2 linked regions of the Oreochromis niloticus genome follow. The protein of the gene in region 1 purifies or fractionates together with the protein of each later gene. This does not show direct contact. Links are inferred from orthologs where the notes say so. Each region holds a gene or a part of one and is shown on either strand. Other genes may lie near its edges.

Region 1 (7,448 bases):
GACATGGCTCCACTGGAGAGGGCAAGCAGCAAGGCCAAGACGGACCACATGACTGTAGGGGAAGGAAGCATCAACAGCAAGTTGTGGGAAAAATCTTAATATTGCTTATTAAGAGGCCAATAGTGGGAAGAAGGAAACAGTATGGGATAGCAGCCAACTCCCTGTGACCTCTAACCCGAGTCTGACAAACAGAATTTTGCTGACCTTAGTTAACTTTCTACCATCAGCAGGCAGGTGTCTGGATTGTTTGGTCATAGGTACTAATTGAATATTTTAACAGTATTTACAGTATTTAACAGCCCTGGTGTAGATCTCTTTCAGTAACAGAACTAGTCCCAAAGTTTAGAGTTTATGGTAATCCGGACAGTCCTTTTCTTTTTTTCTCTTCTTTTTTTTGTAAGAAGACTGATTTTAGCACGGTGGCCAGCACTGTTGCCAGACAGCAAGAAGGTCCTGAGTTCAATTCCACCATCAGGCCGGGGCCTTTCTGTGTGGCGTTTGCATGTTCTCCTCGTGTTTGCGTGGGTTCCCTCCGGGTACTCCAGCTTCCTCCCACCGTCTAAAGACATGCAGTTTGTGGGGATAGGTTAATTGATTAGTCTAAATTGCCCATAGGTGTGAATGTGAGTGTGAATGATTGTCTGTCTCTGTGTGTTAGCCCTGTGACAGACAGGCGACCTGTCCAGGGTGTACCCCGCCTCTCGCCCTATGAGAGCTGGGATAAGCTCCAGCCTCCCCGCGACCCTGAAAAGGAGAAGCGGAAGCGAATGGATGGATGGCATTCGGTCCCGATTCGATTCAATTTTGACTCAGGGAGAAATATTGTAATTCTCATCATTTATCAGTACATATCCACATTTTTATATCTATGTATAAAAACAAAGCTGACACTTGTGAGACTTTACCATCGGTGTAAGCATCACAGGAGATGCCTTTGTGTTAAGGTAAGTGAGGATAAAACTCAGAAAAACATGAAGGAGATTTTCTTGGCCTGGCTTTTTATAGCAGATAACCTTTAAAAATATTCTGCAGTAGGCAAAAAGCAGAAGAAAACCATGAATCAGCAGATGAACATTACCTGATGCTGAACAAAGCAGAGCAAAGTTACAGAGGTTTTATTAGAGAGCATTTTGCAATTCGGGATAATTTTAAAAAGTTTACATTTTTTTCATTGAACAACAGAAATTAGGCTTTCTTGTCGCAGGTCATTTTTGAAAAAACAAACAAACAAAAAACAGCAGCCGACAGCACTGAACACAACGGTAGACTGGTGCGTAATAAGCAGGCGAATAATGCAGAAAACAGAGATATTTCATGGTAAACTGGTCTCTTGAGTGCGCTGAGAGAGAGAAATAGCTGTGCAGGAAGTTTGATTTTATCGTGGTGGAAGCAAAACAGCAAAAGTCAGAGGGAATTCATGACGATGTTTATCAAATGCGAAGCATAGTTTTGATCTTCTTTTGCAGCTGGTTCAGTGAATTGTGGCCAGAGATTAATGAAACCTCCAGCTTCATAATCTTTCAGATGTCGGTTTTCAGCACCGACGGCACGCACGTGGACATGATCCGCGCTTTGTGTTCACTTCTTTTTGCGGAATCCGTTTACCTGCACTTTGTGAACCTTTTATCTAGAAAGGTGCTATATAAATAAATCTTTACTTAGTCTTTTTTACTTACTTTGTCCCACATGTGATTTTTCTCTCTGCTAATCTGACTTTCGGATTCTTTTAAGTACTAAACATAATACATGAGAAAGGTTTACCCACAATGCCACAACAATTAAATTGTGGCTCCTGAATGCAGTATAAAAATGCAAAAGGACACAATGTAAAGTATAAAGTGAACTCTGTCAGAGAGCAAATGTGCCTCTACACCTTTTTGCGTTTAAAACCCAAACATTATAAACATGAAAGATAAACTCACCAACGATTTTGTAAAGCTCTAATCATCATATATAGACGAAGTAATCCATATGCATGTAAATAGAAGTAGCTGTGTATTATCGTATAGTTTAGAAACAAAAAGTAGATGCAGCTGTGGTGAAAATTCATTTAGAGACCAAGTAATAATGAACAAATTCCCTTTACCTTTGGATTTGGTGATGACTCCTTTTTGAAGGGATGATCCTACAAAGCAGTATCTGCAGATCCCCTTTAACACACTTCTCAAGACCAAACAAGAATTTCCAAACACTGATTTGTGCCCGACTGCGTGTTTGTGTGTGTGCGTGTGTCGGACTGTGTGGGCAAAGTGTGAGCGAATGAATGTGAAAACTTGCTGTGCTTTTGACTAATTAGTTTTCAAAGTCCAAAGTCCATATCACGTGTGTGTGTGTGTGTGTCTCTGTGTGTGTGTGTTTAAGATGAAAGATGTAAGGAGTAGACATGTGACAAATTCAAAGACACCCCACCTCCAATGATACGGGTATCCAGTAGCTCTGATTTGCTGTGAACTTCAGGTCTGGGTCCCCTGGTCCCCTTCAGAGTGGTGGGTCACTTTAAATGACTATAATTACCATGTTCTAAGTTATCTCCATTACCCTATGATGAAATACTTCTGACCTGATTGGACTAGTATTCTCCAGGTGATTGTGCCTGCATCTGCAAGGTACAAGAGGTCACTGAACTGCTCTGATAATTATGAAAATGAAGTCAGTTATATTTTATGGCTTTCACAGTCACATGCACTCAATCAACATCTATGGGAGATTTTGGACCACCATGTAAGACCGTCCTCTCCACCGCCATCATAAACACCAAATGCAGGACTATCTTATAGAAGAGCGTTATTGCATATGGTCAGATAACTGTAGAACCAGTACCAGGCTATCTTTAAGCTACTTTAACACTCTTGATGTTGGATTTTTCTCTAATTTGTTACCAGTCTGTAGTTCCTGTGAGCATGTGATTTTCTAGTTTTATAACATCTGGCCATGAAGAATATCAGTGTTATCTCAAGGTCTAACCTGCTCACCACCACCCCCCCACACAGACACAGACACAGACACACACACACAGACACACACACACACACACACACACACACACACACACACACACACAAGCTGTCGTGACATGGCAGCGTGACCTGGAATGACAATAAGAAGATCAAAAGGATGGTAAGTAAGATCTTTTTAGTGCTGTCATCATGACAAAGAAAAATTAAACATTACAAGCACCCTCAAGAGAGTAATGTCTTTGCATGTGCATAAATGTGCTTATGCTTGAGGTTAACGTTTTAAACTTACTGATAAGAATGTTCAACTTCAGCAGCATTTACAGAAACCAGCCATGAACTACGACAGAAATTCTGTTATCTCAGCAGCTTCCTATAGTTTGAAAGAGAGATTGTGTTAGGGGTTGCTTAAAGCTGATATACACTAATGACATAATACATACTGCCCTTACTACTACTACTACTACTACTACTACTAATAATAATAATAATAATAATTTATGGCAGATGCTACTCTTCCAGACAGATACAGTACTGTGCAAAAGTCATGACTCACCTCTCATTTCTTTATATTTTGCTTCCAAGAAATCAGAGTATAAAGTGATCTTGAGGTATAGTTCTCCAACCTCTTCGAAGGTCTTTCAATGTGTTTTGAAAACTATTTTTTTTCACTCATCTTCAATCCAGTCCTGGTTCCTTACAGTTTAAAGAAAAAAGTTTTCTTTGTTTGTTAAGCCACTTACCACTGACCTATGAATTCATCAAGCATATCAATCATTCACCTAACTCAAGGGATAAACAAATGTTGTGGCTACATGTAGTCGATGAAAGATGGTTCAGTTGATCCATCTACTGTTCATCAAAGCTCAATGGTCTTAGTGGAAGGGTGGCTGTCGAGAAACCATTCTTAAAGAAGAGCAACAGGGAGAAAAGACAAATTACACAAGCACTGGACTGAAAACCAGTGGAAACAGGTCTGATGGAGTGATGATTTCAAATTTGAAATTCTTAGTTTAAATCATTATGCATTTGTACACAAGAGGTCAGGAGAGGTAAAGCAGTGAGTGTCTAAAGCTATCTGTAAAACATGGTGGTGGCTATGCAAAAGGGAGCCAACATGCCGAGAGGAGCTTTGAATGTCTTTCAAGAAGCCTGGCGAACTATTCCTGAAGTCTACTTAAAGAAAGGACAAGAACACTTGACTAGACTAAGGGATCTCTTTATCCTCTTTTTATATTCAGCTTCTGTGTTGTTCTTCCAGTTCAACCTGTTGTTGATGATGATGACATCCCAGTTCTCCTTCAGCTTGTCAACACCATTTTCAGGATAGTCATAAAATGAAATGAAATAAAGACAAATAACATGTTTTATTGCATATACGGATCGTTAATATCGCTGTAACACATTTTAGTTAAAGCTCATTAGTGTTTCTACTTTATTTAGAACCTCTCGTGCCACAGATGTGGCTCACGCTCCGAAAAGGGAACCTTTATGGAGAGCCGCTGGAGAAAAGAGGACTCTTTATGGGTGAACACCAGCAGTTTCCGGTAAAATTTGTTTTGAATTTTTTGTCGAGCTGCTGACAGGGACTCAGACTGTGGATTTCGGGTAAGGTTAAGCACGATGTTATTTTATTGTTTGATTATATCACATCATTTTCAATCCACAATATCAGGGGAGTGTTAGATTTTAGAGTCTGTGAGTCTGGAGGACTTTTAAATCGACCGTTAATGACGTATTAGCTGTTCCTCTGTCGTTTGTTGTCTTAACGCAAACTCCGGCTTCAGTTTTCTTTCTGTTTTGTGGGATTTATTTCTGTTGTGTGACAGAAATGTCCACGCTGTTTCCGTCGTTGCTGCCCCGGATAACGGAGTCTCTGTGGTTTAATCTGGACCGACCGTGTGTGGATGAGACCGAGCTGCACCAGCAAGAGCAGCAACACCAGACCTGGGTAAAGGCTCCCCAGAGCAATTATAGACTTGTATTTTCCATCTTTATGCTATTTTGTTGCTTGCAGTTCACTTACGATGCGTTTATATATTGATTTTGCGCATGTTAGTTTGTAATTTATTAGTTTGAGTATTTGCGAAAGGCTAAAAGTCATATAGAAGTCATATAGTCTGCTATAATTACTTGTGGCTTTTTTATTTTTCCTTTATCAGAATCAAAATAATAAATAAACTTATAAATAAATCTTAATCCCAGGAGGAAATCATTCTAACTTGAAATATAAATAAGAGAAACAGAAAGTGTAAACACTATATATATAAAAGAGTAAAACTAAGGCACTCAAAGTGCAATTTTTAGTCAAAATTAAATGTTCCAACGTTAAAACAATACAATACAATACTATACACAGTACGGTGTGAAAGATTGTTCAGTACTTAGCATAACTTGGACAGTATTGTCCTTTCTGAAACCTCAGATCAGTCAAGCTCCACAGCTGCAACATCTCTGGCCATGCATGATCAGTCTATGCATCCTATTATGAGACTTCATACACTTTAATATGTGCAAACTGTCTCTACCGTAGCTGCAGAGTATTGCTGAGAAAGACAACAACCTGATGCCCATTGGAAAACCAATTTTTGAGGTAACGGAAAAAGAATTTTAAACACAAAATAGACAAAGTGTGAAACAGAGTGGCTACATACTTTGTTCCCCTCCATTCATGCTCTCTGCATTTACTGGGTGCAGGCAGGCTACGAAGAGGAGGAAGAAGAAGATGATGAAGATGAAGAAGACAGCGAGGAAGACTCAGAAGATGAAGAGGACATGCAGGACATGGATGAGATGAACGACTACAATGAGTCACCTGATGATGGCGAGATCAATGAGGTGCTTTTCTTTATGATTTGAATAATTTTTTTTTCCAGGCGACAGTGTCACAAACCCAATGGTCATGAGGTGTTTTAGTGTTAAGACTTGGTAAAAATACATGTATCTAAATTTAATTCCATTTCTTTCCTTTACCAAAAATGCCTCTAATCTAGCTTGGTTTCTTTCTGTCAGGTGGATATGGAAGGACCAGACCAAGACCAAGACCAGTGGATGATTTAAGATGATACTGGTTTTCATCAGGCCGGCCCTGGGTTTCCACTCAATGCTTAAAATACAACTACTGCTCTTCAGTCTCTGACATGTTTTTATGTGTGAAATTATGGAAAGAATAATACTGAAGAATCACCATAAGATACTTTGAGAAATCAGTGCATTTTTCTAACTTAAATTTAATTACAATTGACAGTGTGTGATGGTGGAAAATAATCAAAGTGGCTCCAAGTGTGTGGTGCTCTTAAGTAGGTGTTGTTTTTGTATCAGGAAAATCTTCACGCAGTGGTAGCAGCAGGCCCAGTGATCCATTATGTAAACCTTGAACTTTTGCTATCTACAGTTATGCAGAGCAGCGTCTGTAACCAGCAGACTAAGCATAACCATAACGTCAAGTCAGCAAAATAACTTATTGAACTATGCAAGAGTCACCCAGTTGCTTTACCATATAGTCCTGTTCTGTTTCCCAGCAGTGTTTTGTATGTTACAGAAATACCTTCAGCAGAGGATTCATAAAACCCCAGGACATGTATTCTGTTCAGACACTTTTTATATTTTGAACTATGTCGGAAGCAAAAGATGCTAACAAATATTTAAATGTGAGACACAGAGTTCTGTCATGGTCATGTTGTAGAATATTTAACCATGGCATTCCCTACTTCTACTGAAGTTGTAAATTATTTTAACTGAACCATGTTTCTGTTTTTGTGTATTTGAATTTATTAATAAAATATAAGAAAATGTGACGCGTCACTTGTAGTTCAATAACAATTTTGAGAATTTTGGTGGTGGGATGTCCAAGGTTTATATAATTAGACTTTAACTGCAGGAAAGATTTTAAGAATTAATGCTGGCAGTTATCATCTGAAGGAAGACGGGCGATTAATATTAACATAAACTTTAATAAAAATGTAATTTTAATTTAGGTTTAATTTGCATTTAGATTTGCATTAAATTTTGGAGTGTGAGTCTTTCAAATTTGGGAGTTAGAAAAAAAAGAAGCCTTAAAAAAGTTGTTTATTTGAGTCTTTAAACAAAAAGAAGACATGAGATGCTGAGAAGTCACAACAAAGTCCCAGTAGAATAAAAGGTGATTGGAGCTTATAAGACACCTAAACTGGAGATTCTATATATAGAAATATAAACAAAGTGTCAGCCTTTTGTTTTAAGATTTAATTTAGCTTTTTTTGTTTTTGTGGGTAAATGTTGCAGTAACTGATCTCTTTTGAAATCGGTAGGGCACTAGGTCAAGCTCCTTCTTTACCCAGAATGCACTAGTAAGTTATTTTGCAATGTATTTCTTCACAGGTTGAGCTGTATTACACAGACTAGAAATTGAAACGATACCCCTTTAGATGAAGTAATACAGAAGAGAATCATCACAACTTTCCCTAAGAATTTGGACATTTCTGTTTCTGAAGTGTGTGTTTGAGTAACAATATG
Region 2 (8,238 bases), on another chromosome or scaffold:
CTTGTGATCAGCAGATGACCTGCTCTACCGCCTGAGCTACAGCCACCACAGACCTACACCCTGTGAAATGAAACAGCGTTCCTCCGACACTCTGGTGCTACACATGACATATAACAGACGAACACAGGACTGCTTGAAGTGCAACGTGCAAAAAATGCAAAAAAACAAGACAGTGTAACTCTAGACAGAACAGGACGATACAGACACAAGACAACACAAGACAGTGCAATGGAAATGTGCAAAATGTGCAAATAGTAACCTGGTGTCTGAAGGTGTGTGTGTGTGTGTGTGTGTGTGTGTGTGTGTGTGTGTGTGTGTGTGTGTGTGTGTGTTTTTTGTCATTCCAGTCACTGGGTGTTCAGGAGTCTGACGGCTTGGGGGAAGAACTGTTCCGTAGTTTGGCAGTGAGGTACCGGATGCTCCGGTACCTCTTTCCAGAAGGCAGCAGGGTGGAGAGTGTGTGTGGGTCCTCCACAATGCTGTTGGCTTTGCGGATGGAGCGGGTTCTATAAGTGTCTGTGATGGAGGAAAGAGAGGCTCCAATGATCTTCTCAGCTGCTCTCACTATCTGTTGTAGGGTGTTGCGATCTGATACCAGGGGCGATTTTAGCCCATTTTTTGAAGCACCCCCAAAAATGGATCAAAGCACCCCCAAAGATTTCTTACTTTTTTGGAAAATATTTGCTGTTTGTGTGCCACACTACTAAAAATATAAAAAGCATTCAGTACTTGGTTGAGACGTAACATTTTAACAACAAAAGTATAGATACCCCCCCTCCCAAAATGGTTTGTTCCAGCTCGCCTCTCCCCTACTCTGGCTCTAGCACCGTTGCTGCCAGAGTGATGGTGGCTGACACGCAGCGGAGCGGAGGTGTGAGTGCTGGCTTAAAACAGGACATATTAGCTGCATTTAACCTTCACTTACTCTTTATATAGTTAGGTAGGAGTTAGGCCATGTTTCTTTTTAACTGAAAAACATTACACCCAGGCAACCTGCAGTGTTGGAAACGTGTTTTCCAACGATGTTTGCTACCCTACAATCCATCCTACTCTGTAGTAAAATCAGCGACATTTGACCGTCCTGTTGCTCCCATTGAAATTTAGCCTATTTAAAATCTAAAACTGAAAATTGTCCGTAGCCTGCTGTTGTTGCCACTGTCCTGTTTGAAGTGGAATGAGAGAAGCTGGTTATTTTGTCATATGTGCATGTGCCAATATTAAACCCAGGAGCCACATTCAGGTAAACTTGTAAGATTAAATGATCCGTCAATAAAGGATAATGTTGGATCAGTGTTTCAATATTTATATCTTTTATTAGATGTACATGTAGTTTGGTTATTTGCCATTTGGTTGAAAGTACACTGAGAGGGGACTTTTTTTTTATTAGTGTTCTTAATAATAATAATTTTTTTAATGTTAATGTAATTTTTTCATCTAATTGAATACAATCTATTTGTGTATGATTGTCAGTCCAAAGAGGGAGAGAGGAAAGAGGGGAGCGTGAGGAGAAAGTACAAGGTCAGGAAGAAACAGGTAAGAAAACAGACAGGGAACAGTGACATTCAAAACAAACTGTTAAACTGCTTGAGAGAGTTGACCACCAAAAAGTGATAGACAGATTTGCCAACCTCAAGGTGAGGCACATAGGTTAAATTAAAAGAAAAAATCTGCAGAGCCGTAGAAGTATCTGCAGTAAAGATCTTTTCATACATTGTATACATTGTACCATAGGCAAAGTTGCCTCCATTTTTATAATTTTTTCATCAATATTTTGTACATTTCAAGGACTCAATTTTTGGAGTGTATTTTTATATATCTGTATTGTATTATACATACACATTAAAAGTGAATCTCTGTCCAAAAAATGCACTCAGTTTACTTGTTACTCACTGTGAGCATCATTCATCATTTTCCCCCAGTAATTAAGGTTAGGATATGTATTTTTTTTATTATTATTCCAATCCATTCTTCGTTTGCAGCATTTAAATAACCTTTATCTGATTTGATGGTTTTGTTACAGACTTTAAAAAAAAGTGTTTTGCTTTTCTTTCACAAATATGGGGATTAAATTGTGTTAAAATGTACAAAACAATGATGTCATGTTTTGTGACGAGGACCCAGGCACAGAGAGACTTGATGAGTTTAAGAATCTTATGATTTAATAAAGAAATTTGCAGACTTGCACAGAACTGGTAAAATTATGATGACTGATAATGGAGATGAAGACAACAGACGATGAGGACAGGGAGGAACAGGGGTTTAAATGCACCAAAGAGACAGTCAGAGGAAACTCGGGACAACTGGAGACATTTAAGGATGCAGGGACTGACAGAGACAGGGAAGAAGTCTCATCGTGACGAGTAAAGTTTATCTTGCCTGGCTGGGCAGCTCTCTGGGTGCTCAGCACCCTCAAAGCTCTGATCCTAGAATCGCCCCTGTCTGATACGGTACAGTTACCATACCATTCACACACAGTGGAACTCACTGATGTCTTCACAGACATCTTCAATATATCACTTATCCAATATATCACTTATCCAGGCTGTCGTCCCCACATGTTTTAAAGCCACCACAATCATTCCGGTTCCAAAAAAGTCATCTCCCTCCTGCTTTAATGACTACCGTCCTGTTGCACTTACTCCCATCCTGATGAAGTGCTTCGAACGACTAGTCATGCAACACATCAAGACTGTCCTGCCCCCCTCCCTGGATCCCTTCCAGTTTGCGTATCGGCCCAACCGCTCAACCGATGATGCTATCTCCACTGCACTCCACTCAGCACTCACACACCTGGACAAAAAAGACTCATATGTTCGAATGCTGTTCATAGATTTCAGTTCAGCATTCAACACTATAATCCCCCAACAGCTCACTCAAAAACTGGTCCAGTTGGGGCTTAACACCTCTCTGTGCAACTGGCTGTTGGATTTCCTCACCGGAAGACCTCAAGCAGTACGGGTCGGCAGTAATACATCCAGCACCATCATTTTAAACACGGGGGCCCCGCAGGGATGTGTGCTGAGCCCCCTCCTCTTCACTCTGCTGACCCATGACTGCACTCCATCATACAGCTCCAACCTCTTCATCAAGTTTGCGGACGACACAACGGTGGTGGGTCTCATTAGCAACAGGGATGAGACCGACTACAGAAGTGAGGTGAGACGCCTGGCCACGTGGTGTGTTGACAACAATCTCTCTCTGAATGTGGAGAAGACGAAGGAGATTGTTGTGGACTTCAGGAGAATGCACACCCAACATGCTCCTCTGACCATTGACGGAGCGTCTGTGGAGAGAGTGAGCAGCACTAAGTTCTTGGGTGTGCACATCACAGAGGATCTCTCCTGGACGTACAACACCACAGCACTGGCCAAGAAATCACAGCAGCGTCTCTTCTTTCTCAGACTGAAGGACAGCTTCATCCATCAGGCTGTCAGGAAGCTTAACTCCCTCCCGATTCTGCCCCCTCTCCCCTCTCTCCTCCACGGTCTCACTGAACTCTGTCACACACACACACACACACACACACTCTCTGACTCACTCACTGGCCTGCACCAGTTATTAGTCACTTTGTGGAGCATTGGACCACCACTACCTCATAAGACTTTGTTGTTACACTATCTCCTACCGTACATTACCAAATCTCCATTTGCACTATTTGCCTATTTGCACTACCTTGCCTGGTTTACACCCAATGTCATTTACCCTTACCTGAATATTGTATATTGTATATTGTATAGCTTTTTTTTTGTTATATGTAAAATTGTACTGTATTTATTTAAATTTTTACTTTTTAATTATTCTACTTGCATTTTTAATCACTCTCTTATATTTAAATGTTCATTTGGGTTTGAGAGTAACGAAATTTCTATTCTCTGTATGTCCTGTACATGTGGCAGAATTGACAAATAAAGTTGACTTTGACTTTGACTTTGACACAAACACATTGATGGATGTATTAGGAGAAACTCGGGGTTCAGGATCTTCCCCGAGGATAGTCAATCTCCCCAAGACCACAACTGCCAGTTATTTAAAGCCGCCATTCTAAATGGCTCATGGCTTCATGTCAGCCAGTCTGCTGTTGCTACTAACCAGTCTGAGCACCAGGAGGCGACAGAACACTGAACACCGCTGTAATGAGTTTTACCACCAGAAGGCGAAGGAGATACTTCGGCTTTCTCCGTTTGACAGTCGTTCATGTCCGCCGCGGCATTTTCCCTCCTCGGGTATCTTCGGCGGTACTCGGTTGCTAACGGTCGGTATGTTCAAATGTTCGGCTGCAGCTCCTCCTGAGACTCAAGTGAAGAAAGAGCGGAGAGAAAAGAGACCCCCGGACCGGACAGAAGGAGTCTCAGAGCGGGATGACGGTGCTGCAGGAACCTGTCCAGGTATAAATACACACCTTTGGCTCGTTGTCACGCGTGGGGAGCGGAGCATTTATGAAGTTTGTGCCTGTCTCTGCGCCCCGGCCTTAGTGGTGGGTGCAATCCGTGGTGAGAGCGCTGTTCCTCGGCCGCAGGCCCCATAGAGGGCCGCTGACGGCACAGAGAGAGTTTTCTGCTATTATTGGTGGTCGTTAGTCCGTTAGTACCCTCTGTCACGGCCCGTTCGGGTCACGCAGAGCTTTTAATTTACACCCGGTACAACTGAGATATGTCATGCCAGCCACCTTTAAATATTTGTCAGATTAAGATTCCAGGTATTTCCGATCTAATTAAAGGGAGAAATTGGTCAGTTTATTTGATATTTCATGAATGGTTTTGTTCCGCACATCTTTTGGGCTCAGATCCAAAAAACGAACACGGTCTAATTTTAAAATAAAACCACCCGGAATCCGAACAGGTCCATCTGAAGAGGCCTGAGTCCGGCTGAGGGGAAATGACCCGCGGAGAGCGAACAGACCTCTTTAAAGTCAGTGTTTCACCGGAACCAGCTGTGGGTGGGTCACTGACTGTGAGCAGAATTTGTCATAGAACAGGGCCCGATGTTCTCAGGTATATCACGGAGTTTCAGATGTGTGCAGGTGAGAGTGCAGAGAGAAACGGTTGGATTTCAAATGGAGTTCTGTGTTAGCATGACTCGGTTAGCAGCTAACGCGGTTGCTAACACTCAGCGGAGTTTCAGTAAGGAGGAACTCTGCTTTAAAGTTCATAAAACGATCAAAGCCGCTCCTTGGGAGTCTGTTAATGTCAGAGTCTGACCGCAGATCAGCCGCGACAGATGAAGGTATCCCGCGGCCGTTAGACTCTCACAGCTAGCACAGGCTAATGGCAGCTAACTGCCCGGTAACATGAACCGCTGTTAGCTGTTAGCCGTTAGCTGCCATGTCAGCCGCAGACTGATGGGTAATGTCTCCTCACAGGTGTGTTTGTGATCTCACTCAGGTAAACTGTGACTGCAGAGTTAAAGTGAAGTGACGTCAGTAACGGAACAGCTGCAGTGATCGATCAGCGCATTGATCAATAACTTTCCTGAGCTTGACCCCATCGATAACAATCAGGCATAAACACGGCCCGTCTCACATGATGCCCTCAGATGTGTTTGGAGTACTAACCAATGGCAGCACACAGTGTTGCTCTAACTGCGGTATTGGCTATTGATTATGTATGGCTCGGTGTTAGCAGGTACAGGTGACACAGCCTTCATTTTAACCTAGAGTCAAAAACTGTTTACAGTCAGGTAAACCTGTACTGCTCGTAGTCCTTAAGCTTTCTACTGATCAATACCAGCGTTTGATCAATAACTGTGTGTTTACTGTTGAAATACACTGATTATAGCTGAGTGTGGGAGGAGATCACATTTGAGCTCCACAGCCAGTTTTTCCAGTCGTCTGGCTCTAAGGTCAGCATGGCCGCCTTGTGGTGGACTGAGACGGCTTCAGGTCCTTTTGTAGTAATACAGAGTAATGTAACAAGTTACTTTATTCAGTGAGTAACTAAATGAGATACCAAATTACTTATAAGAAAAGTAACAAGCTATCTCTAACACATTACTTTTTAAAAAATAAGAATAATTTCCAGCTGTTTGCAGTTCTGGCTCAGTTTGATAAATAATGTGGATTTAATGCAAAATGAATCTCAAAAGCTGGACAGATACACCAACACATCTGTGTGTGTGTGTGTGTGTGTGTGGAAACAGCAGGCTTACAGAAGCTCGTCTGTGTCTCCAGATGTAGAGGTGATGTGAGACACATCTGTGCAGCTGTGTGTCTGGTAACGAGGTGACTCGTGACTGAAGTTGGATGTTTTCTGCTCTGCTTGCTGTCATTGCATTGTTACAGTGAAGCGGGCAAATACATTTATGATGTCACTGCGTGTCGTTGTATCGTAAGTGGTGAGAACGGTGCTGTCTCTATGGAAACGAGCGGTTCTGCTTCTTTATCCAAGTTCAAACGGCCCAAATCTCCACACTCTAACTCCTCCCACCTCCTTTTCAGCGGCGTCCTCATCTTCAGAGTCTTGTCTGTCTTTTGGGACGTTGTCACTTTACTTTCCATTGATGTTTTCTGACGTCATTTCCTCATTCAAACTCAGGCTCCTACTGTTAGGACAGGTGTGGTCCTTCCACGCTTTGTGGCTCAGCCTATCCTGACCTGGCTTTGGTAGGGTGGGCAGTTGGAGGGTCGTACCAGTTGGAGCCCTTGAGCTCTGGATTCTGAACTCCTTGGTTCATAATTCATACATAAATCACTCGTACGTACTGTGACTATTTTGTTCCTTCTGCTGCATGGTTAGGTGCTGCAATCATCAAGGACAGAAAAATAATCTCTTTTTCTTCTTTTTTTTTTTTTATCACATTCCTGTTTTGGATAGAAGAATATGAACAAAAATGGATATGGGAATCTCATCCTCTTCCTCCTCACCTTAAGCCTCACTCCTGGACTGTAGTTGGGGCTCTAACATACCCATATGGAAAAGAAATAGTAAAAACTTATATGATTTACTCATGAAAGTGGCCACTTTCTCATTACTTTCATATATTGTTTTAGTAAGTATCCAAAACATACAAGTTTCATTTATATAATTTTTCAAGGGATCTTATATCTGTTTTCACTCTTGTATGCTTTTCATACAAGTTTCACACAAGACAGATACAAACTTTATAAGATTTATATATATCTTTTCCATATGGGTAAGAAATCCTACAAGAACATATTTAATCTCAACATTGTCACATTGAGTTATGGTCAGCAGATCAGACATGCGAGCATCTGAGACATGGCTGAACAACAGGATGATGTCACAAGCTGAGGTCATGCCAGATAACATTAGATTGTAGTGTCTTTAAACTAATTTCCCTCTGATCAACAGTTTGATTACGTTCTCACGTCATGAGAGTTTATTTGCTCAGTGCCACTGAGATAGATCCACTTCAAAAGAAGTTTCATATATGGCCTTGAGGAGAAGAGAAACTAACGGCAGCGCTGTACTCGGCAGTTCATCTCAGTGTCGCTGTCATCAATCACAACTGAGCTACGGCGACTCAGGGCTGGGATCATCACTGATTTCGACAACTGATTCAAAGTACCCGACTCGGTTAGATTCAATGACATTCTGACTCAGTCAGAAATGTCATGATGATGATCATATTTCTTGGATGTGTACTGTCAAAACAACCCTCTGAACCTTGTAAATGAAAAACATTTAATTCTAAATTATTTGAATGTTTCTCTGCGATTGCAAACTCAGTGTGAACTATCTGTGCATGAAAACAAAGTTGACACTGTGAGACTTCATCAGAGGTGTGAGCATCACAGCAGAGGCCTTTGTGTCAGAGTAACTGAGGACAGGTGTCTGTCAGAGGGCTAACACATAGACACACAGACAAACATTCACCCTTTGAAAATATTCTGCAGTAGATCAAAAAATGAACAAAACCATGAATCAACATCTGAACATAACCTGTAGACAGGTGCGTAATAAGCAAGACAGACAATCATCAGTCCAACAATTGACGATGGGCAATATATTTGCGCATGCTCAGACATTTTGATGGGCGGAGCAATATAATCATGCACGGACTGATTTGAGGACCAAACATAGATGAACTAATTTCCAAAATTAGGGCTGTCAGTGTTAACACGTTAATCCGGTGTTGACGCGATTAAAATTTGTAACGCTCGCAACCCATCCGAAGCTCAGAATGAACAAACTTTAGACAAACTGCCCAAAGTGTGTAGACATTTCAGGTTTTTTTGGCTCAGTCCGGTCCTGATGGGTTAGTTGTTAATCGCATTTGTCG

What was found.
Region 2: the proteins of anapc15 (region 1) and cdc27 purify together in Homo sapiens (affinity purification with mass spectrometry; 3 studies listed by BioGRID and IntAct, with this or other methods). This does not show direct contact. The link is inferred for Oreochromis niloticus from reciprocal best matches to the Homo sapiens genes ANAPC15 and CDC27.

What each region holds. Positions count from the first base shown.
Region 1 is NC_031979.2:11,650,635-11,658,082, reverse strand, and holds anapc15 (anaphase-promoting complex subunit 15), read left to right. Parts: upstream 1-4,425; 5' UTR 4,426-4,562; intron 4,563-4,783; 5' UTR 4,784-4,785; coding exon 4,786-4,905; intron 4,906-5,487; coding exon 5,488-5,547; intron 5,548-5,651; coding exon 5,652-5,792; intron 5,793-5,966; coding exon 5,967-6,014; 3' UTR 6,015-6,748; downstream 6,749-7,448. Other genes in the region: folr (folate receptor), read right to left, coding at 1-50. UniProt on the Homo sapiens protein: Component of the anaphase promoting complex/cyclosome (APC/C), a cell cycle-regulated E3 ubiquitin ligase that controls progression through mitosis and the G1 phase of the cell cycle.
Region 2 is NC_031969.2:35,399,901-35,408,138, reverse strand, and holds the start of cdc27 (cell division cycle protein 27 homolog), read left to right. Parts: upstream 1-4,847; 5' UTR 4,848-4,981; coding exon 4,982-5,020; intron 5,021-8,238. UniProt on the Homo sapiens protein: Component of the anaphase promoting complex/cyclosome (APC/C), a cell cycle-regulated E3 ubiquitin ligase that controls progression through mitosis and the G1 phase of the cell cycle.